2 linked regions of the Drosophila melanogaster genome follow. The protein of the gene in region 2 purifies or fractionates together with the protein of the main gene of each other region. This does not show direct contact. Each region holds a gene or a part of one and is shown on either strand. Other genes may lie near its edges.

The links. The genes of interacting proteins can lie anywhere in the genome.
Region 1: the proteins of CG9662 (region 2) and jagn purify together in Drosophila melanogaster (affinity purification with mass spectrometry, with the first as the bait; one large-scale study listed by BioGRID). This does not show direct contact.

The regions. Positions count from the first base shown.
Region 1 is NT_033777.3:5,777,475-5,781,866, reverse strand, and holds jagn (jagunal), read right to left. Parts: upstream 2,553-4,392; 5' UTR 2,440-2,552; coding exon 2,351-2,439; intron 2,068-2,350; coding exon 1,695-2,067; intron 1,633-1,694; coding exon 1,501-1,632; 3' UTR 559-1,500; downstream 1-558. UniProt on the Drosophila melanogaster protein: Required for endoplasmic reticulum organization and proper vesicular traffic during vitellogenesis. Required for oocyte and bristle growth.
Region 2 is NT_033779.5:3,375,310-3,378,763, forward strand, and holds CG9662 (uncharacterized protein), read right to left. Parts: upstream 1,429-3,454; 5' UTR 1,311-1,428; coding exon 1,172-1,310; intron 1,112-1,171; coding exon 801-1,111; 3' UTR 523-800; downstream 1-522. Other genes in the region: CG15412 (uncharacterized protein), read right to left, coding at 1-99; Ptpa (phosphotyrosyl phosphatase activator), read left to right, coding at 1,790-1,817, 1,873-2,496, 2,553-2,761, 2,847-3,182. UniProt on the Drosophila melanogaster protein: Subunit of the oligosaccharyl transferase (OST) complex that catalyzes the initial transfer of a defined glycan (Glc(3)Man(9)GlcNAc(2) in eukaryotes) from the lipid carrier dolichol-pyrophosphate to an asparagine residue within an Asn-X-Ser/Thr consensus motif in nascent polypeptide chains, the first step in protein N-glycosylation.

The sequences.
Region 1 (4,392 bases), on a different chromosome or scaffold from region 2:
GTGCGAGTAATTTCGTAATTTTGAATTTTTCACAATTTTTTTTCCTTAGTTTTCGTGTTTACTTCGGTCCGAAATGGTGTGTTGGAAAATTCGGCATCCGTTCTTCGCACAGGCAATGTACAAATGGAAAATTAAGAGAGCGGGCGGAGCAGGGAGAAAAGGATGCTGCGGAAAAGCTTTGGCTCTCCGCCACAGCTTTTTCTCTCTCTGTCTCAGCTTCCTGGCTCTCCGTCGCCAATTGTAAACAATTGCGCAATGCTCGCCTGCTGTTGCTCCTCCACTCGCCTCGATGCACAAATGGTCACTAAAACTGGATTGTTGTGGCCAATTCGGCCTGCCAGCCGCATTGCAACGGCCTGTGGGGTTGTGTTGGATTGTATTGCTTTGGGCGAAGGTCCTTATTTGGTGGTGTTTTTCAAGAAATAAAGCTTGAGAACTTGTATTTGCCTCTTTAAAGTTATGATAAATATTGTAGATGAGCATATAAACATTAAGTGACTTAATAGGTATACTTATCAAAATTTGTTTTAAATCAACCGCAATAAAATGCTATGTTTAACCCACTCAGAAGAACAAATATATATGCATCTTTATTGATCGATTTTTAAAAAACTACTTAAAAATTCGAATAATAAATTACGATTTAAAAAACATCATTACATTAAAATTCAATTCTCAGTTTAGTTTGGCGACATGCCTGTCATTACACAGTATTATTGACGATCAGAAATTGAAGAACTTTGCTTTAACACTCAAATTGCATTTCAATCCTTATTTATAGTAGTGTGTAAACAGTGACAGAAGGTTGTAAATAGTTTGGGGCAGTTCTCAAACGTTCAGCACCCGGCCAGACGCCTTAAAGCATGGCACTGTGCGGTTCGATGAATAAAATTCAAAATTAACGTACTGGCAAAAATGAAACGGTTTCGAAATTTGTAGAAAAGTGAACTAATTATCAACTAGGCGAGGAAGTAACCATCCGTGGACGCAAACATAAACTGATGTACGCATATTTTCATGTGTAAATATATATATAAAACGTTTCTAACAAACACGAGGCACGTCGAAATGTAAGTGAGCAAAAATGAAGTGATCTCTAGGTTGGTTTTCAGTTTTTATTCCGACTCGGGGAAATTTGGTGGCTTCAGTTGCTTCTTGTCTTTAGTTGACCTCACAAGGCTGCGTATGTGTGTATATATGTATGTCTATGTGTATAGGTGTACATGTGTATATGGATAAGAGTCTATTTAATCAATTTGAAAACGGTATCAACTAACTTTCAACTAACAATAACCTTACCGCCGACGCTTCGCTCAGTTTCGACCATATGTTTCCCTTCCTGTATGACTAAGTGTGCGATACCTTAACAGCTGCATAACTTTAGTTTACCATAGTTTCATTACGCTTTTGTGCACTAGTGTTTTGAGTTAGTTTCAAGTTTCCAAATTATTTACAACTAGCCCTGCATTCCGGCGTTTACTAGTTTGGCGAGTATTTAGATTACTGGAACTTGCGCGTGGCAGTTCTGGCCTTCCAGGCCTTGACCAGGTTGTAGGCGAAGTACAGCGTAAATCCGTGCACCTGGAAGCCCACAAAGCAGAAGGCATACCAGAAGACGCCGTACGGATAACCCTGTAGAAAAACCGAGGTTTAGTAGGGCGGCTCTTGAGGGATTAACTGGCCCAGCCACTTACGCGCCACACAAAGATGTCTGTCTCGTCCAGCTCCACCGACTTGTCCAGCGTGGCGAACTCCCACACGTCCGAGAAGTAGTAGGCGAAGCAGTAGAAGAGTGGCAGGATGGCGAATAGCAGTATGGCCACCATATACTTCTGCATTTCGCGCACCTTGTTGCCCCTGGCGGCCGAAAGGCCCAGGAAGGAGGTGAGCAACGACGCGGCCCACACGTACTCCCACCACAGGGGCGGTGGGACCTCCAGCTCCTCGATCTCCAGCACAAAGATATCCAGGTGGTCCAGAATGTCCGACGTCAGCTTGGCCAGCATCACGAAGAACAGCAGGGCGTGAAAGAAGATGCAGTACTTCAACCTGGACTTGTTCAGCAGGCTAAAAGAGCAGAGAAAGTGGTCGTTCAGTGGCGGATCTGTGTGGGTGAGCCCCATATTGGGGCGCACATGCTGCCCAGCTGGCACTTTGCCCACCCGCCCCCTACAGCAGCAAGTGGGTGGGTGCAGCAGCTCCAGGGTGCTCCGCCGCCCTGGCTGGACGCCACCTGCGATTCGGCTGCAGTAGGTGCCGCCTGCAGGTGGATCTACTGCCACAGGCGCCCCAGTAATTAGATAATTTCGAGTGTAGCTGAGAGCTGGCGATAGCACGAAGTGTTATTAACCTAATTTGATATGTGCCAGCTACGCGCTGCCTGAACTCGAAGTCGTTGCCATCGGTGCCCGCGACCATTGGTCCGCCGCGCGTTGCCATTTCGTTGCCTTCGTTCGTGGGTCGTGTCGTTCGCTCACGTCGTTGCTTATTTTTAATAAATAATTGCACAAAAAATAGGGCTGGCACTAGAATCGATGTGTGTGCGATACCATCGCTGCCACCAAAAAACTGGCGCACATCGATACGCTCCTCGCTACCATCGATTACTTTCGCTTGAAAGCATAGCAAATAACCGTTAGAAAGAGAGGGGAAATTCCGCTAAGTTTTAGAATGTTCATTTTCAGAAAGTCTGCCATGGAAACTATTAATACATCTGCATGGAAACTGTTTACAAAACATTAATTAAATTAAATAATTAGCCTTTTAACTGTATTAGCAACACGTGATTAGTCATATTATTTAATTATTTTAACTTATTCTATTACAGTTATTAAACAGTTATTAGTTTTAATAAAGTGGCAATGTGGTCGTGGTGACTAGCTCCGCTTAGGGAAATTTTAATTGGGAGGATGACTTCGCTAGGTGTGTAACCTCGCTAATGCTGTGTAGAATAAATGTGTTATACTTACATACGTAGAACTTCAGTTTTTCTCTAGTTAGTTTCGGCAGAATGTAGATAGATATTCGAACTAGTCGCAAATGAGAACGATTTTTTAAAGGTAATGCTGAGAGTTTAGCATTGCTAATCTGAAAAGTGGGCTGGTGAAAAATAAAACCAAACCTATTCTTAATGGCATTAATGGCACTTAATACTTTAATTTTCATATCTTTTTTGCACGATTTTAGAAAATGAGGGCTGGTTTTAATACTCCGATTGAAATCTTCCATCCATATGAGAATTATTTCTACTAAAAGTACAAACGCTAGACTAAAATGAATTGAATTGCATTCCAATTCCAATATGTCTTATAGACCAAATGGCAGAACTAGTAAGATTTAGTAATGATTAATGATTAATGAACGGGTCGCGATGAAAAATATTACTCGTAGATTAAAAAAGAAGTATTCTAGATTCCTTTTTCAACGAATATGTATCAGGTGAAAGGAAGTGTTTTTCGAGCCAATAAAGCATATATTGGTAAGGAACACTAGCCGAATCGAACTGGCCATGTCCGTCCGTATGCACGTCGAGATCTCAGGAACTACATATATAAGAGAGATTAATTTAGTTTTATTGCTATGTCAGAAAATGTTGAAATTCATGTTTGAACTTTCACTAGCAGAGAAAGGAGTATCTAATAGTCGGGGAACTCGCCTGTAGCGTTCCCTCTTGTTTTAGTTTCTCCGTACCTTGTTTTTGAATTTGAACTGCAGTTCCAATTTTTCGAAGCCAATAATGCCTAGTGCGTCAAGCCGAAATTATCATAATTGGGTGCAAGTGCTCTTTGATGGGATTATGCAAATTGGATGCAGCTTTGTGTCCCAATCAGTTTTCCAGATTGGAAGCAGTGGGTGTGTCCGGCGGACTTTCGGCGCTCTGTCAACTGGCCAGCACCTGTTGCACCGAAATCCATAAATCAATCTGCCACGAAACAAGAAACAAGCGAGGAAAAGCCAATCTGCGAAAATAGAGAGGGCGACGACGTTTAAAAATAAAATAATGAATTTCCCATTTCAACGCACTCTCTTTATGCTCGCTACGCTACAAAAGTCGAGCATTCGGCCCGGGTGTGTCATCAGTTCTACGGCGGTATTCCTCCGACTTGGACGCGTTTTCATCGCATGCGATCGTCTCCGGCCGAAAGTCGCGTCTTTCCCGCTCCGATTTTAATGTCAGTTGTTGATAATTTCCGCTCGAATATTTATGCTGAGCTCGGTGGCTGACACTTTCGAGTCCAAAGTTGAAGTTGCGCCATAATTGCGATTCGGTCCATAAGGTAATAGACCAGAATAGTACCATCACAATGAGTGGCACTTGCATATTAATTGCATTTCATCGCCGAGTCTTTCTTTGTTTTCGCCAAAAATGAAAACACATACGCGGCAGATTTC
Region 2 (3,454 bases):
CGGGGCATACTGCGCGTAGCTGATGGTGGACACCAAGAGATTGGCCAGCTCCGCCAAGGCGCTGTCGCTCAGCGATCGCACGGAGCACTTTTTCGACATGTCTCTGTTATGGTTTCGGCCCAGAGGTAAACAAAATACGACGCAGAAGCCGCTGGGAGATGAGCGCACTAGAGGAATTGTTTTGCTCGTGGTTACATCACTTGGTAGCAGGCGCAATGCTGGTTGTTTTCCTGCTCCCTTAGAGTATTTCTAACGTTCCTCGGTAACTATTTGCCCAATATCAGCTAATGGCGCACTTCTACACATGCGTGTACCTTATATTTAGGGGTAAAAATAGATTCTAAAATTATATAGGCGAAGGAATCGGTTTCTGCCGACGAACTAGTGAACTGCTCGATCCAACAGCACGATGCAAACTGAGAGCCATGGGACGCCAAAATGTTTGGTTTCCTCGGTTCCACATTCTCAATTCGGCGAGCCACTTGAGCGACCAAAAAAAAACAATGCTTAACTCGTTTCATTGTTATTTTGAGTCGCTTTACAATTGCATTATTTATTCGACAGCATCGGAATAGAGACATTCTATAGTTTACTTAACTGATTCGGATGAAAGCCAGCCAGTTATTCTGCTGTTTAAACAATATTACAACTATTACACAAAATTTTAAAACGAAATCAAAGTTTTTGTTTGGTATTCCGCAGCTTTAAGCCTTTTAAACTAGAATTTCTGGCGAATGCAGTTCGGTTTACAGATATTCGAATGTGGGAGAGTACTAAGAGAGCGTTTTTCAGTAGAGATTCTAGGGCTGCAGGTAGCTGGGCAGCTTCATGCGCATGAACAGCCAGGTGGTGAAGAAGGAGACCAGGATGAAAATGAATCCCATGGCGGTCAGCAGCAGGCGGTTGAGGTTCGTCTTGCCCGGCGTGTGCGTTTGGTCCATGATAATGAATCCCAGTCCGCCGACGGTGAACAGGAAGCTGCTGGCCAGGCCCTCCATGATGTACTGCCCATTCACACGGTAGGGCATAAAGGCCACTGGACGCGAGTGTCCGTGCTCATCCACCGTGGCTCCCAGACTGGGCGGCTCCACAATCACGTCATATATGATACCTGCGGGCCAATTTGCATCTCTGTTTAACCAATCTCAATTATAGAAAGCTTAGGACTCACCGCCTGTCACCAGAAAATAGGAAAACAAAATCACACTGAAAACGGCCATCGGTGACGGCATTGGAATGCTGAATCTGCGCACCTTGATGTTCGGCGGCACCAGGATGTGGAAGGGCAGGTTATACAGTGTCTCGATCATGATGAACTAATAATTTAATAACTATAAATTTAAATATATCACGGATTTTTCAATTTTCGTGGCGGTGTCGCTGAATTTTGCCGGCGTAGGCGGAGTTTGTTGTTATCTATCGAATAGGGATGGACACTTGTACGATACTCCCCCTGCATTGGTGTATTTCCACTAGACAGCATCTATGCTTGCAGCTGCATCGTAAGCCATGTCATTGTACTGTTAATGTCTTAAGTTTTAAACTGCCTAATCGATTTGAATTTTTTTATAAGACTCAAAATATATTATATGTAACATCAAACGATTGGCTTATTGATACTAATGTGCTTCAGCTGCGCAGCGTGAACAGCCTTTATATTTGGTCATACTTAGTGATGTCACTATTGCGCTCGCGTAGAAAAAGAGGAAGATGCCCCCAAAATAACAAACAAAACGTAACTCCCGATCAAAATAGCTTTAAATTGAAGTTAAATAACGAAACAACTATAATGGCGAGTGGCATTAACCAAGCAGCAGGTGGGCTGAGTGAATTTCTGAAGATTCGTAGCTTAGTTAACCACTCCATTTGCAGGTAAACTGCCGGCAATTGCGAAGAAGGTGCAAAATCTCGGCGATATGGGCGTTTGGCAAAAATCCCGCGCCTTCCACGATTTAATTGGATATATAAATGGCACCAGTTCGGCCATTCAGGGCATTAAAACCACAGACGAGATTTTCGAGTCGGAAATGCTCAAGAAGCTGCTGCGGCTATTCGATGCACTGGAGAAATTGGTAGAGCAAAATCCTCCATTGGAGCAGCCGCAGCGGTTCGGAAACAAAGCCTACAGGGATTGGGCGCAGGCAATGCGGGAATTGTTGCCCGAACTCCTAGAACAGCTGTTGCCAGACGACAAGAAGCGATACCAGGTGGAGCTGGGGCAGTATCTCACTGAATCTTTCGGCAATGCCACCAGGATCGACTACGGCACCGGCCACGAGCTGTCCTTCCTCTTCTTCCTGTGCTCCCTGTTCAAGGCGGAGATCCTGCAGGAAAGGGACATCGTGAGTGCTGCGCTGAGACTCTTCAATCGGTACCTTGAGCTCGCCAGGCAGCTGCAGCGAACATACAACATGGAACCCGCTGGGAGCCAAGGAGTCTGGTCGCTGGACGATTTCCAGTTCGTGCCCTTCATCTGGGGCAGTGCACAGCTGGCGGGTAAACAATTAAGAAGGATTCCTCCAAGATTTCCTTTCTGAAACGATTCCTTTCAGTTAAGAGTCCCTTTGATCCCTCGAAGTTCGTGGACGAGGCGATAATCACCGAGTACAAGGATCACTTCATGTTCATCAGTTGCATCGACTACATCTGCAAGGTCAAGACTGGACACTTTGGCGAGCACTCTAACCAGCTGTGGAGCATCACGGATGTGCCAACATGGGCCAAGATCAACGCGGGACTAGTTAAGATGTACCAAAAGGAGGTAATCTTTAGTCAGTAATATGACTAATATAAAGTAGCTTTAATTGAATACCTAGTACTCAGAAACTACTATAAACTATCCACAGATTCTCTCCAAGTTTCCCGTGATCCAGCACGTCTACTTCGGAGAACTGATGACATTCGAGCCCGTCTCCTCTGGCACAACTCTGTCCAACGCACGACTGGGTCATGTGGCTCCGCCGCCATCCAAACGCATCTGCATCGGGACTCCAAACTTGGTGCCACCAGTTCCTGTTGCCACTGCTCCTCCTCCGCCCGCCGAATCTCTTAGCATCGAACAGAATGTGGGCGACTCGAGCAGTGAGAGCAGCGACAACAGCGTGGTACTACGTCCATCCACATCGTCGTCTTCTCTGGTGGCGGCCGCCGAGGGATCTGGGGATAAGCCCAGCAAGGAATAGACTACAGAATGGAGGAAAATGGCGATGGTGTAACCTGTGTTAAAAATTCTTATTAATAGCGTTGGCCAATGGTCCAGTAAAAACTGTTTACACAAGTACAATCGCAATTTGTGTTCCTGGGTCTTAAAGTTTCCGCTTTCAAATGGGTACATGAAGCACTTTCCCGGCGAATGTGTTTCACAACATTTAATCCGAGTTTAATGGAAACAAATGTTCTTTCCCATTTACACAAGAAAAAGTACAAAAATGGGAAGCGATGGACGAGCGGAAAA